Saccharomyces cerevisiae S288C: one gene and its partner. The gene in region 1 interacts genetically with each later gene. Each region holds a gene or a part of one and is shown in the gene's direction. Other genes may lie near its edges.

Region 1 (7,176 bases):
CAATTTGTGACATTGAACTATTGTTGACGAAAAAAACTATCTTTTTTTATTGAAATGAAAAAGGAATAAAATAGCCTAATGTAAAATATCGCCTGGCTAGCACTAATAACTTTGAGTATTGTTGCAGTTATTCCTGCCGCAAATTATGTATTAAAATTTATACAGATATTGTGCCATAACTTCAGTTAAGGGTAAATTATCAAATTCTCGATATCCGTGGTCACTTTATACGAGTTTCTCTTTCCGTGCCTATATTCCTCGCGATGAGATTGAGGTAGAAAAAATATCTGAAAAAGAGTTGTCAATATATTATCTATTATGTCCTTATAATTTTATCATTTAGATTGTTCATGAGGCCCACATTTTCATAGGATTGCTAATTAACTCACAAATATGGTTCAAGCTATCAAATTAAATGATTTAAAAAATAGGAAGAGAAAAAATGTGGAGGAAGAAAATGGCAGTGACGAGTCTGAAATTGACATTAGTAGCACCGATTCAGAAAATGAAGAAGAGCAAAATGGAGAAGAAGAGATCGTAAATATTGACTTCGATTTTTTCGGTGGTAACCCAGAAGTTGATTTTCATGCTTTAAAGAATTTACTGCGTCAGTTATTTGGTCCTCAAGAAAGTACCAGGATTCAACTAAGCAGCTTGGCAGATTTGATCCTAGGTTCCCCAACCACCACAATTAAAACAGACGGCAAAGAATCTGATCCATACTGTTTTCTTTCATTCGTTGATTTCAAAGCTAATCATCTAAGTGATTATGTCAAATATTTACAAAAAGTGGACATGAGACTTTCCACTTTCTTCAAAACTATGATTGATAGTGGTAATAAAAATTGTGCTTTGGTTCTCAGTGAAAGGCTGATTAATATGCCACCGGAAGTCGTTCCACCTTTATACAAGATTACGTTGGAGGATGTTGCCACGGCACTTGGCGATGACAAACATTATGACTTCTATATCATCGTCACCAGGAAGTATGAAGTAAATTTTGACACTGACGATGATACCGACTCTGGTAAGAGGAATAAAAACAAAGACGAAAGATCCAAAAAAAGGGTGAAGGCCGATGAAGTAGACTACTTTCATGAGGAGGACCGATTTTTTGAAAAATATGCCAAGATTCACTTCGAATCAGAAGCTAAAAAGGGTGTTATCAGCTCATACATGATTCTTGATCACGAAGGCCTTGTCAAAAGTATCGATGAATTGGAAACAGAAATTTCCACTTGGTAATTTTACGAAAAGTAAATAGTTGCGATCACTGCCCTGCACAGTTAGTGCAATTTGTATATTATTAACAGACGAAGCAGCAGCGGCCATTGAGCCTTTATGTCATCCTACACGGATAATTTTGGGCTGCCGAGGACAGTAAAAATTAATCCGCCACCGCTGAAAATTTTTCTGGGCGATCATCTTTTTAATGTCGTGTGCTCCAATAAAAATACATAGTATATATTGTGCAAAGTGAAATCAGATTGTAATTCAAGAAAGGTCATTCACCCTGAGCCTTATAGAACATAGTCAGCATATAAGTGTTGAGCATTTTGAGCCGGGGCATACAGGTATTTGCGGCGTAACTACAAAATTTCTGGTTCTTCCCCCTTTCGAACCGTTAGAAGGGATAAGGATTTTTGCGTACTTGCTGCAGCCGCGAAATTTTCAAAGGCCGGCTATTACCCGTAGGCGTTAGCCGCCGAACAGATAGAATATAAAGATTATTTAGAGACATCATAATCAAAAGTACAGTTTCCGCCTCAAAGATGTCCTCACGTCCAAGTTCAGCAGTGCCTAATTCAGCATCACTCAGTGAGGACCAGAGCAGTGATAGAAGTAAATTTCCTAAGGCAGATGACTTAATTGATGAAAGAGATAGAAAACTGACCGAACTATACTGCGTATCCCGCTTGAACCAGCTGCTAGAGTTAACAGATGAAAACAAACTTCGGAAGGAAATAGATGCATTTTTAAAGAAAAACGATATACGAAGGGGTATAAGGTTTGACGAGGCGTCACTGCCGAAGCTCCTACATACAGCTGCGACTCCCATAACAAAAAAGAAATTGAAGGATGTAAATTTAATAAATGTACCTAACCAGAGGCTATCCGATTCTAAAATGAGTAGGGAACTGCCAGAAAATAGCGAAAATGTATCAGTCAAATCAGAGAGTCATTTTGTTCCAAGCCACGATAATTCAATCCGTGAAAATATGATGGATTCTTTGAGGCCAGCTGAAAAGACAGGAGGTATGTGGAACAAAAGGCCACTTGAGTCAACTATGGGAGGTGAAGAAGAGCGACATGAAAAAAGACAGAAGATGCAATCTCAGTCATTGGAATCTTCTAATAATTCGGAAATGGCTTCATTACCTATTTCGCCGCGTCCCCCAGTGCCTAATGCATTAGCACACTACACTTATTATGAGAACATCGAGTACCCACCAGCAGATCCCACTGAGGTGCAACCTGCAGTAAAATTCAAGGATCCGTTGATAAAGAACATTATGGCGAAAGAGATAGATACATCAGACCATTATAACGAGAACAATGTTGACGCATTAGAGACCGTATTTTTATTAATGAACGATTATATACCATCGAAAATACCCCAGGCTTTGCCCTTAGCAGAATTGAAGTACATGTCACAAACTCTGCCTCTTATTAATCTAATACCGAGAGCTCACAAGGCTTTGACCACTAATATTATAAACAACGCCTTAAACGAGGCCAGAATTACTGTTGTTGGCTCGCGAATAGAAGAACTAAGAAGACTTGGATTATGGTCTTTAAGACAACCTAAAAGATTCATCGATCCGTGGAAACAACACAATACGCATCAAAACATACTTTTAGAAGAAGCTAAATGGATGCAAGCAGATTTTAAAGAGGGCCACAAATATAAAGTAGCTATCTGCACAGCAATGGCACAGGCAATCAAGGACTACTGGACCTATGGGGAAATATGCTGTGTAAAACGTAAAACACTTCTACCTGGTAAGGAAAATAAATTATCTGACGACGGGCGCATATCTGAAAAGTCCGGTAGACCATCGGATACTTCAAGAAATGATTCCGATATTAGCATAGCCGGTAAGGATGACATTGGAATTATTGCGAACGTTGACGATATTACTGAAAAAGAAAGTGCTGCTGCTAACGATAATGATGAGAATGGAAAGAATGAAGCAGGAGCTAAGAGTGATTTTGATTTTGCAGATGGTTTGTTATCTCAAGAAGGTGCCCACGATCAAATTATATCTTCTATTGACACCAAGTTACTTCTAAAAAAGCCATCCTCCTCAAGCGAAGTTGTTTTAATACAACATGAAGTAGCTGCATCATCAGCGTTGATCGAAACCGAAGAATCAAAGAAAGAGCTAGCCCCCCCATTTAAACTTTCAATCTTTGTTGACGAACTCAATACTTTTGAAAAAACATTAATACAGGATTTACCGCTGTATAATGGTATTAATGAAGAACGGCCAAAAAAAGATGATTCTTTACCATTTATTCCAATTTCCAAATCGGTAGTGTCACTGGATGATAATGGATTTTATAAGTTACTTGAGCGTCAATTGATTGACGAAGAACCATCAATATCACAATTGAGCAAAAGGCGGGGTATGTTCTATGGTAATAGAAGAAATCATTATTTAAGACCACCAGCAGTACCTTCATTACGCTATCTTCAAAATAGAACACCGACTATATGGCTGTCTGAGGACGATCAGGAACTGGTCAAAAATATTAACACATATGGCTACAATTGGGAATTGATTAGTGCACATATGACACATCGCCTCACATATTCTTATTTATCGAATATTGAACGTAGAACGCCATGGCAGTGTTTTGAGCGTTTTGTACAATTAAATGAACGATTCAATTTTAGTGACCTCAAGGGTCCCAGAGCACATAGTGCTCAACAGTGGTTGATTGAAGCCCATAAATTTCAGCAGAGACAGAATAGAAGAATATCGCCTTTAGGTGTAAATACAGAATCCATACAAAGAGGTCATAGGAGACTCCGTTGGGCGAGCATGTTTGAGGCGATTAGAAAATGTATGAAAAAAAGAGAAAATACGCCGCGTCCCAATCCAACCCAGCCAAGGAAACCGTTAGATTGTAAAAACATGAAGGTCCCTACCCCAGCAGAAATGTCGCTTTTGAAAGCCCAAAGAGATGAGGCATTGAGAAGGGATATACAATTGAGAAGAACAGTGAAAAATAGATTACAACAGAGGCAACAGCAAAGTCAGCAGGCACATTCATCCCGAGCTCAAAGTCCAATACCTTCAAATGGCAAATCTTCTTCAAATTTGGCTAGAAATGGGCAAGCGTCGGCTCCAAGACCAAACCAGAAACAGTATACTGAGCAAGATATCATTGAAAGTTACTCGAGGAAGTTGTTGGAGCAAAAACCAGACATTGGTCCTGAGATGGCCCTTAAGGCGGCAAAAAACTATTATAGAACCTTGAGAGAACAACAGCAACAGCTAAAGCAGCACCAGATTCAACAGCAAAGGCAGCAGTTACAGGAGGAGTCCAGTCATGTGCAGCAACTGCAGCAACTACAACCAGGGTCTCAAGCTCCGCCACCGAAATCATCTCCATCTCAATCTTCTCTTTCCAATATTTCTAACATTAATTCTGCTCCAAGGATAAAGTCACCAACTCCACAGGAGATTTTACAAAGGTTCCAAAAACAATGACCTAACTTTACGACTTTACGATACTGATCTTTTTTTTTTTTTAACCAGGCTTATATTGGTTTTTTGATTTTTATAAATTTACGAATACTATTATATATAAGTAAAACGTTTTACTTCTCTGGTTTAGTATGTTGGCGTAACACTCTGTTCTCTGTAATATAATATGGCATCTACTTTTTTTTCAACTTCTCTACCGAATTTGATTATATTGTGGGCAAACTGGTCGTGCCCGATTCTTCCTTCGAATCACCCTTGGTGCAGTAATTAGCCTTCCATTTCAATTTTATGGGCTTACCTAAATTAACAGATATACCCTCTACGGAAGCAATCTGTTTGATACCATCTCTGGAGTTACTTTGGAGCATATTGCCCGATTGCGGTTGCAGAGACAATGTCGTGCCTTTAGGTGATGCCACTAAAAGTGCAAAATTAGTTATTGGATCACTGCTTATGTTTGAATAGAAGATAACTAATCGTAGTTTTGTCATCGACTCACGAGTTAATTCGTAATCAATGCGTAAGTGATCCGATTGGTTAAGTATATGTCTTTGCGATTGAGCTGTGATTTCCTTGGAGTTACTTGAACTATTTAGTAAACCATTAGGTAGAACAATCGAGTTAGAATATGCGGACAGAGCGGTTTTACTTTCTCCAGGTTGCGAATCAAAATCTAATAAATCTATACCAGATGACTTTGAGTGAGCGTCACCAAGTATATCAACAACAGTGTCGTTTTCTTGAGGAGACTTTGGGGATGATAAACTTACCTTATTAAAATCCCCTAAAAGATCGTCAAAAGGTTGCAAAGATTTGCTTGGAGATGTCACAGATGGAGTGTTTGCTGTTGTATCGTCATCAAAATCTATCAAATTAAGCTCTTTTGCCGGTTCATTCGTATCGGGGACATTTAGTTCTTCTTCCTTCATACCTTTTATTGACTTGTACCTTTTTAACAATTGGATCACTAGATCGTTAAATTTTGATAGATTACTAACAAGCGCATCGTCATCGCGTTCTTCCTCAATAAGCTTTTTGAATTTCGGCTGCGCTGATTTTAAGTCGCCATACAATTCTTGAATAGCTTCATTTTCAAGATCAGGCTCATCGGCTGAAGTCAACATTTCGTTGAATAAATCAGCTTTTCTTTTGAGTTTATTTAGTTCATTGTTAATTGCTTGTTTGACTGCTACTTTAGTGTCATCCTTAAATCCCGCCATAATTTTCATCAGTTTATTAGCTTCTTTCAAATCATCGGGCTTGCCGCTTCTTAGCAGCTCTTCTAGTTTTGCAGCTTGAGCTCTTTCCTGTTCTTCCTGTAGCTCACTAGGTGTCCTCAGTTGGTCATTCGGTCTCAACACCGCCAAGTTTTCACTCCCAACTTTTGGGAAAGTATAACCCTTGTATTTCAGTAATTTATGCATGTCGTTGATATATTGAAGATCATCTTTGTAGCTGGCATGTTTGCAGATGGTTTGGTACCATTCCTCGATGGCTTCAAGAATCATTTGTTGCACCTTGGAATATCTCAATGGTGGTTGCTCTGGAAATCTTTTCACTAGATCATTTAAGAATTCCTTCCTGGAGATTTGCAAATGTATAGAGTAACCACAATTTTTTACCAGCACGTCTAGTAGTGAAAGTGCAAAAACAGCTGCTTGCGTGTCCCCATTATTGACCAATTTTTCAATTGCTAACACAGCCTCTCTAGGGGTTGCTCCTTGCTTTGAGTTGATATAGTCAGCTACATCTAAGTTCAAGCCCAAATCTGGTTCAGGCAATGTGGATCTACACGCTCTTTGTATCTTTCTGAGTAGTGAGCTCTCAGTAGACCGCGGTTTTCTGACTGGTTCGGAGGTAAGCTCAATTCTTTGTGGCATTTTAAAAGACTCTTGTCTGGGTTATACTTGAAGTAGTGACTTGTCCCAAATTGCTTCTTTATTAAGATATTTTTTATATAATGATATAAGGGTTTTTAACTTGAAATGGTTATGCGCAATATTCACCCCTTTAAAAATACCATTAGGTTTTAAGTTATAAATTTTAGGGCTTTTTGCTAATCTGTCATAGGTTATTGAGTTAAATAGCAGGTTATTTTAGGTTTTGCGATTTAAAATATTCGGGGTCATTATTTGTTTTTTAGCCGTTTTCTAGAACATGGTAAATGGCCAAAATTGCTGCTATTTCCACAGAGGGAGCCATCCACAGTAGCTAAAATAAGGACTTAACAAGTTTTCTCCAATTTGGGTAATTTCAGTTACAGTTATTTTTTAACCATAACACAAAATTCGCGGGGTTTTTTTACATGAAATTTGTGTATTTTAGCATTCATTAGCAGTATATTCAACTAGGTTAGTTGGCCTTATTTAGAATGCAAGACAACTCAAGTCATTCCAGAGAGTCGGCTTCGGCTGGTGACGATCCTCTTGGAATTGATAAATTGACAGTCGACTACGAT
Region 2 (7,920 bases), on another chromosome or scaffold:
AAAAATCTGATGTAAAATTTAACCCATGTAGAAAAGTTTTCTTCTGATGTTAAAGTGTGTGGTGGTAAGACATTATTTCTCACCTTTGTCTTAGCTTGAGGTACTTCAGAGTGTTGATCCTGTGAACCGATTGGATCAGGTGAGGAAGTACTCAGCGGTGGGATATACTGTGGCAGCGGATAGTGTGGGTCCGGTTGATAATACGCAGGTGACGTTTGATAATGTGAACACGTCATCATAGATGGTTGTTGGTAATGTGCCCAGTTAGAAGCCATAGCTTTGTTTGGGGTCATCATGCCGTGCTGTTGGTACTGTCCATTCTGTGGAGGTGGTACTGAAGCAGGTTGAGGAGAGACATGATGATGGTTCTCTGGAACAGCTGATGTCCCAGGTGTTGTCTCTTGTTGAGAATTAACCTTAGTGGAATCTCTATCAAATTCCGGTAAATTGGAAGCTGAAACGGCTAACGGATCTTGATTTGATGGGACTTCCTTAGAAGTAACCGAAGCATAGGCGCTACCATGAAAAGTGGGTGAATTTTGAGATAATTGTTGGGATTCCATTTTTAATAAGGCAATAATATTAGGTATGTAGAATGTACTAGAAGTTCTCCTCAAGGATTTAGGAATCCATGAAAGGGAATCTGCAATTCTACACAATTCTATAAATATTATTATCATCATTTTATATGTTAATATTCATTGATCCTATTACATTATCAATCCTTGCGTTTCAGCTTCCACTAATTTAGATGACTATTTCTCATCATTTGCGTCATCTTCTAACACCGTATATGATAATATACTAGTAACGTAAATACTAGTTAGTAGATGATAGTTGATTTTTATTCCAACAGTTTTATATACCTCTCTTATTTAGTATAAGAAGATCAGTAATTATTTCTTCATTAATACTATTTTTTACCTCTAATTATCAACAGATTCACATTCCAAGATGAGAATTTTAAGTTTATGGTCCCTTAATTCTTTGATATCAAAGTCTCTCCTCAGAGAGGCATTGCAAGAATTAGCAGCGCCGTGGCGCAGTGGAAGCGCGCAGGGCTCATAACCCTGATGTCCTCGGATCGAAACCGAGCGGCGCTAATTTTTTTACCTTTGATCCTTTATTTTTCTTAATTTCCTTGTCAGTCTGACTATTATTGTTAATACATAGAATGAAATGTTATTTATAAAAAAAAAAGTTTTGGAGAAAAGTAGGATGATAGGATTTGAAGGTAGACTATGACCTTTGTGTTAACTTGGACAATCGTTTTATCATGACATCCGATCCTGTTAATACGAATATAAGTAGCCCCACTTTAACGGACAGAAATGCAGACGAATCATGGGAGCTCTTGAAAAGAGAGTTTAACACATTATTTAGCAACCTGAAAACTGACAGTAAAGAAGAAGGTAATTTCACAGACAACAAAGGAGTAATCGCCAAGAAACCAATTGTTCTGCAGGATAATGATGATTCGGATTTTACGCAGAATCAGGGAAAAGTTGCTACTGCAACCAGTACAACTAGTGACAGAAGCTTTAAGCGAACACTTGGTTCTATTGAAATGAAAAAACGTTATGTTAAGAAAAATTGCCAAGCAAAATTTGTTTTTAACACGCTTGAAGGTAAAGAAGTTTGTTCGAAAATACTACAACATACCCTAGGCCTATTAAGTTTATTGCTATTGACGAGAAAGATACGACTACTAAATTTTTCCTCAAAACTGCGATTGGTGATTCAACAATTGAGTTTATTTCGGTACTATTTGAGATTCGGAAACTTTGCGATCAATTTATATAAAATTATCAAAAGATTTCGCTGGTTGAGAGAAATGAAAAAACTACATTATAAAGATCAATCAATTTTATTTTATTTTAAAAATTTCCGGTTTTTCGACATTATTGAAGCTTTTTATAATTTGACAGATGAGTTGATACTGTTCCATAAGCTACAATCAATGTTTGGTAAAAAGAACACATCACATGCAAATACTAATAGACTAATGACATTCGTCAAAGAACAGCACTATATCTTATGGGAAGTTTTAAATATTCTTGCTATCAATAAAAACATTGAACAATGGCGACAGCTAATAAGAGATGAAATTTATTTAAGTATCTATAATACCAGTGGTAATGCAATAAAGGAATACGAGTTAAAGTACAAACTACCTACCAATGACAAAGTCAATTTGGAGTTACGGAAAAATAATATTACATTGGATTTTTATAAGATAATACTAAACTTATTGTCTAATCTAATTAATATTAAAGGTAAAAGGGACAAATATAACTCAGAGCTAGCTTACGAAATAATTTCAGTAGGTTCCGGTGTTACTGAACTCCTTAAGCTATGGAACCGAGCCAAAGTCACTTCGGCTAATGAACATACAAGCGCTGTTTGACAACAGATGACCAAGTTCGTTGCATCCCTCTTTATTTCGTTTTTTTAGTTTGATATTATAGTACTTGTATATATACATTTTTTCTTCTTTACGTCTAAAGATTTAGTTATACCCACTCCGCTTCCACTTGAGCTTTTTGGAATGTGTAGTCATTTCTATTGATGGTCACCACACCATCTTTCAGACTACATTTCCATCTCGCCTTTGTTCTTGTGACTTTATCATATAAGCACAGCATTAAGTTCTCATCTGGCCCATCCTCTTCACCCTCCGAAATTAGATAGTCATCGTCGGAATCATCTAGTTCTGAACCGACCTCATCCGTATCTAATAATGCACTTCTTTTTTCCTTCTTCGCTTGTAATTTTACTTGTTCTATCTGCTCCTTTTCCTTGCGGGTTTTTTCCACGTCCTCCTCCTTTTCCTCGTCGTCTTTCTTCTCACTTTCATCATCTATGTTTTCGACGGTAGTTATATTGGCATTATTAATAGTAAGTTCTATTTCCGGTTTTACTTCAATTTTAGGCTGGCTAGTTACGTCCGCATTTGTATTACCACTAGTATTTGTGTTCAAGGTAGCACCTGAATTATTAGTTGCTTCTACCGTATTCGTATTAATATTGGTCTCTCCAGAGTGCGGTATGTTGTTGTTGGAATTGATATTTGGCAAAATTAGACCTTCATTACCGGTATTCTCCTCCTTAATATTGAACTCGCTAGAATTTACGCCGGGGGTAGCAAGATTGAAATTTAAGTCGTTCTGTACACCATTGATATTTCCTTCATTGAACTGATTGTCCCATGAAAAAGTAGTTACCTTCGTCTCTGTGAGCTTTTTTTGCCAAATATTTTTTAGGTCTTGTAAAGTTTGTTCATCGATACCCGCATTTTCAAAGTCCTCTCTTACTTCATTTACCACAGACTCTACGATAATCTCGTACACTCTGCTGGCCTCTGCATTCGACATGATATCCAACGATGTCCCTTGTGTATGGCCTTGATTTGTGTGATACTATCGCTTTTCTTCTTTGAGCTTGCCCCCGATAATATGCCGTATGGCTTTATCCACCTTGTTATTTGGCTTCTTCATCTTTTCTTCAACTGTCTCACATCATACTTGACGAAGCTTTTTTTCGCGTTAATTTATATTCTTTATTTATTTATTTATAATTCAGAGTGTACGATGAGTTCCTCTTTAATGGTTCATTTGAAGGACACTAACTAAAAAGAGCATCATTGGTGTCAAGGGGCACCCAGTTAAAAAAGGTTTTGAGCACATATCGTAATTCATGAACGAAGTTCCTACCACTCCAGTTAGGCTTATTTTAGGGCAAGCTCAGCAACGCGAGCAGAATTCAGAAAACTGTTCGCAAGAACGTAACCCACGCACGTTTAATTCCGAACCGGATTCCAGCTTTAACTCTCCTGGTTCCTCCCAGTTCGTGATACATCCTCATGAACCGCTCGAGAAGGAGAAAGATGAGAAGCAGGATTTAGACCGCTCGATTGATTACGGTAGGTCATCAGCTCTTAACAACAAGAATAATGCCAATCCATTAGAGAATATAGACATAAATAAAATGTTTGATGACAAAAAATCAGATTCAGGTACCAATGATGATAAAGGAGGCGCAAGTACTAGTGATAAGCATGTCCTTGCATTGAATTATTCACCGATCAGAGTTGAAATGAACTCCTCAGAGAAACGAAGCGACAAAAACGTGGACGTAGATGAAAATGATAAAGAAGGTAGCCATATTAATAAAAAATTGAAATTGCAGTTAGAATCAGTACCTGATTTGAAACAAAGCTCTACTAAAGATATCATTAATGACAAAGAAGAAATTATGTCGTCTCCAATGGCGATTGATATGATTGAGACCAACATAAGCCCAAATAAATTCATAATAAACGACGGAGTTGAAAGAAACGATAGTTTCAATATCAATACCGACACACTTAAATTAGAAAATGATATAAATGAGAAACAACAAGAGGAAGACTTCATAAAATCTAACAGTAACAATGTGGTTAATATTGACAATGCTTATAAGGAAAAGGAGGACGAAGAAAATGATATAACAAATTCTCATATAAACAGGCTTACTCCTTTGTATGAGACTTCTGCAAGGGAGTCGAACTCAAATGAAGAGGGGAGGAATGACTACGATGATGACAACCAACTTGATATTAGACATGACAATTTTCAGATTGTAGCAAAAAGAAACGAGGAGCTCACTGATCAGATATATCACTTAAATCAAATGTTAAACTCTTTGATTTCCAAAAATGAATCATTGTCTTTTCAATACGAGAAATTGAACAAAAATCACCAACTACTAATAGATTTGACAAATGAAAAGTTAGATAAACTAAATACAGAAAGAGAGAGCGATATTGCCAAGGTGGAAAAATTCAAAAAGAGGATTAAGGAGTTGAATACAGAAATTAAGGTATTGAATTCCAACCAAAAAATATTACAAGAAAAATTCGATGCCTCAATTACTGAAGTAAATCATATAAAGGGCGAACATGAAAATACTGTCAACACTTTGCAGCAAAATGAGAAAATTTTAAATGATAAAAATGTAGAACTGGAAAATATGAAAGCAGAATTGAAAGGCAATAATGATAAATTATCCGAATATGAGACCACGTTAAATGACTTGAATTCTCGCATTGTGCAACTGAATGATAAGATTGAAAGCACAGATATTGTTTTGAAATCTAAAGAGAACGAACTAGATAATTTAAAATTGAGTTTGAAGGAAACTTTATCGATTTCTAAGGACTTCAACGACTCTGACCTTATAGGACAAATTAATGAGCTAATATCTACAAAAAACAACTTGCAACAAAAAATGGATGATTTGAATAACCTGAACGACGATAATTTGAAGGTAGTACAGGATAAATTAATTAAAAATGAGGAGACGCTAAAACTAAAAGAAGCTGAAATTGATTCATTGAATAGTGAAATGGACGAGCTAAAAAAACAGATCACTTCAAAAGATGATGAATTTAAGATGTGGCAAAGTAAATACGAAACTGTCGAAGACGAAGCTAAGATACGCAATGCCGAAGTTACAGAGTTGAACGGAGATATTGAAGATCTAAAGGAATCAAAATTGCATTTGGAAGAAACAATTACGGAACTAGAAAACAAAGTTCATAAACTAGAAAATGAGTGTGAACTGGAGAAACAAAAATTCGAAAAAACTTCGCTAGAATTAGAAAGCTTACAACTAAAAAATAGTAACATTCAGGCTGAGCACATCAAAGAATTGGAAAATCTTCATGAAAACCTTATTTCTCTTCAAAATGAATTGAAGATTTCATCCGACAGGATAACAACATTAACAAAAGAAAATGAAGTATTAATGGAACAAAATAATAATAACAATAATAGCGTTACTTTAAGCAATGATCAAAAGGATAGAGATGATGAAAAAATTAAATCATTAGGAAAACAAGTACAAGATTGGAAAGAAAAGTATGAGGCCAAAGAAAAAGATACAAATAAAAGGCTAAAGTTATTAGCAGAAGATTTGTATATCCAGTATTCATCCAAACACGAACAAAAGGTCAAACTGTTGAAAAAAGGCTATGAAAACAAGTACCAAAATAAGTTTGATCAATTAAATTTAGAAAATAAAACTCTGTCAGAAGAAATCGAGCAATTGAACAAGCAGCTGTCTTCAGAAAGAGAAGAAAAGCAGGAGTTACTCAAGTTGTTAGAAAATGAAAAAAAATAAACGCATTTTTTTCTTTTGCATTTTATCTTTTCCCTTAATATGTCATGAGAATAAAATATTAAGGATATACCGTAAATATACAAATTCGTATCGAATATTTGATATTGTTTCCTAACTTTTCTGTGTTAAAAATAAATATGCAAAAACATACTAACCATAAAAATAAATAAAATACAAGATATAAATAAATAATCCAGCAAGCAAAGACATTGCGGTCCATGCCATAATTGTTTTCTTCCAACTATTAGATTTCAGTGTGCATTATTTCATGTTTCTTTTCTTCAAAACGTTCTCAATAAATGCTTCACCAGCCTTATATGACGATCTTACTAGGGGTCCAGATGCACAATACAAGAATCCCATCTCTAAAGCTCTCTCTTTCCAGTAGTCAAACTTTTCGGGTTTCACATATTCTACGACTTTCATATGTCTCTTGGTTGGCCTCATATATTGACCAAATGTAACAACATCACATTGAATATTGCGCAAATCCTTCAAAGTTTGAGTAATTTGCTCATCAGTTTCTCCTAGACCCAGCATTATTGATGTTTTAGTAATCAGTGACGGAACCGTAGCTTTTGCCCTTTCTAAAACACTCAAAGACTGTCTATAAGTAGCTCTTCTGTCTCTGACATGTGGTGTTAGTGATTCAACTGTTTCCAAATTATGTGCGTAAACATCAAGCCCACATTGTGCCATAATGTCCACCATCTTCAAATCACCTCTGAAATCACCAGAAAGAGTCTCTACAAGAGTATTTGGTGCCTTCTGTTTGATTTTGCGAACCGTCTCGGCCAGGTGATTAGCACCACCATCGACTAAATCGTCCCTATCAACGGTAGTTAAAACAACATAACCCAACCCCCATCTTTTGATAGCTTCGGCAGTATTTTCGGGCTCCATTGGGTCCGGCTTACTAGGCGTTCTATTGGTCTTCACAGAACAAAACCTACATCCACGAGTGCAAGTATCACCAAGCAGCATAATTGTTGCCGTTGCCTTAGATTTATCTTTGCCTCCCCAACATTCACCAATATTGGGACATCTTGCCTCCTCACAAACAGTACTCAGGCCTAATTCTTTTACGTCGCCTTTCAATTTATGGTAATTGGTACCCTTAGGAATAGGAACCTTAAGCCAACGAGGTAGTTTTTTAGCTTCCTCTGTATTTTGCCTTGCCTTCTCCAGAGGGTCCAAGATCATTTTCGAAGCTTTACCTGAAACAAAATCTGCAAAAGATGGACCCAAATTAAGAGCATCTTTGAACTCTGTAATTCTTTTTCTGTTCCCCTTGCGTCTTTTTCCCGAAGTCCCTGTTAACTGACTGGTTGCATTTTCAACCTCAGTTGAATTTCCAACTGGTACCCTAACGCTAGCGTTATCTGAATCAGTATTCAATGCATTGGATCTTATTGGCCGAGTTGCGCTCGTTCCACACCTAATAGTGGACGAAATCCATCTTGTATTTCTCCCAACAAATAGTACTCCAACAGATCGTCTATACATTATTGTGGCTTAACAGTTCTCCTTAAAATCCACATAACTGACAAAACTGGATACTTAATGCCCATCGAGTCATATACATATATTTGATTACTACAAGTGCTTTTCAAATAACTGCTTCGAGAAAAGCGTCCGGGTAATAACAACTATTGAAAAAGCATGGCTTCGCATTAATAGGAGCCAAAAATATGAAGATGAGCCTCGAAGTTTATCTAAACTACCACCAAAGAAGACCGACTAGATTTACAATCATGT

Evidence for each region.
Region 2: mutations in EAF1 (region 1) and SLK19 are lethal when combined (synthetic lethality), as found in Saccharomyces cerevisiae (3 studies listed by BioGRID, with this or other methods).

Annotation. Positions count from the first base shown.
Region 1 is NC_001136.10:1,189,481-1,196,656, reverse strand, and holds EAF1 (Eaf1p), read left to right. Parts: upstream 1-1,772; coding exon 1,773-4,721; downstream 4,722-7,176. Other genes in the region: protein-transporting protein BCP1, read left to right, coding at 394-1,245; GGA1 (ubiquitin-binding protein), read right to left, coding at 4,925-6,598; CNL1 (Cnl1p), read left to right, coding at 7,090-7,176. UniProt on the Saccharomyces cerevisiae protein: Component of the NuA4 histone acetyltransferase complex which is involved in transcriptional activation of selected genes principally by acetylation of nucleosomal histone H4 and H2A. The NuA4 complex is also involved in DNA repair.
Region 2 is NC_001147.6:709,170-717,089, forward strand, and holds SLK19 (Slk19p), read left to right. Parts: upstream 1-3,696; coding exon 3,697-6,162; downstream 6,163-7,920. Other genes in the region: YOR192C-A (gag protein), read right to left, coding at 1-563; PEX27 (Pex27p), read left to right, coding at 1,277-2,407; TOA1 (transcription initiation factor IIA large subunit), read right to left, coding at 2,514-3,374; LIP5 (lipoate synthase), read right to left, coding at 6,424-7,668; Ca(2+)-dependent cysteine protease MCA1, read left to right, coding at 7,917-7,920. UniProt on the Saccharomyces cerevisiae protein: Has a role in spindle assembly and stability. Required to ensure a timely exit form mitosis. Essential to maintain pre-anaphase spindle polarity. Associates to the plus ends of the microtubules at the kinetochore and spindle midzone.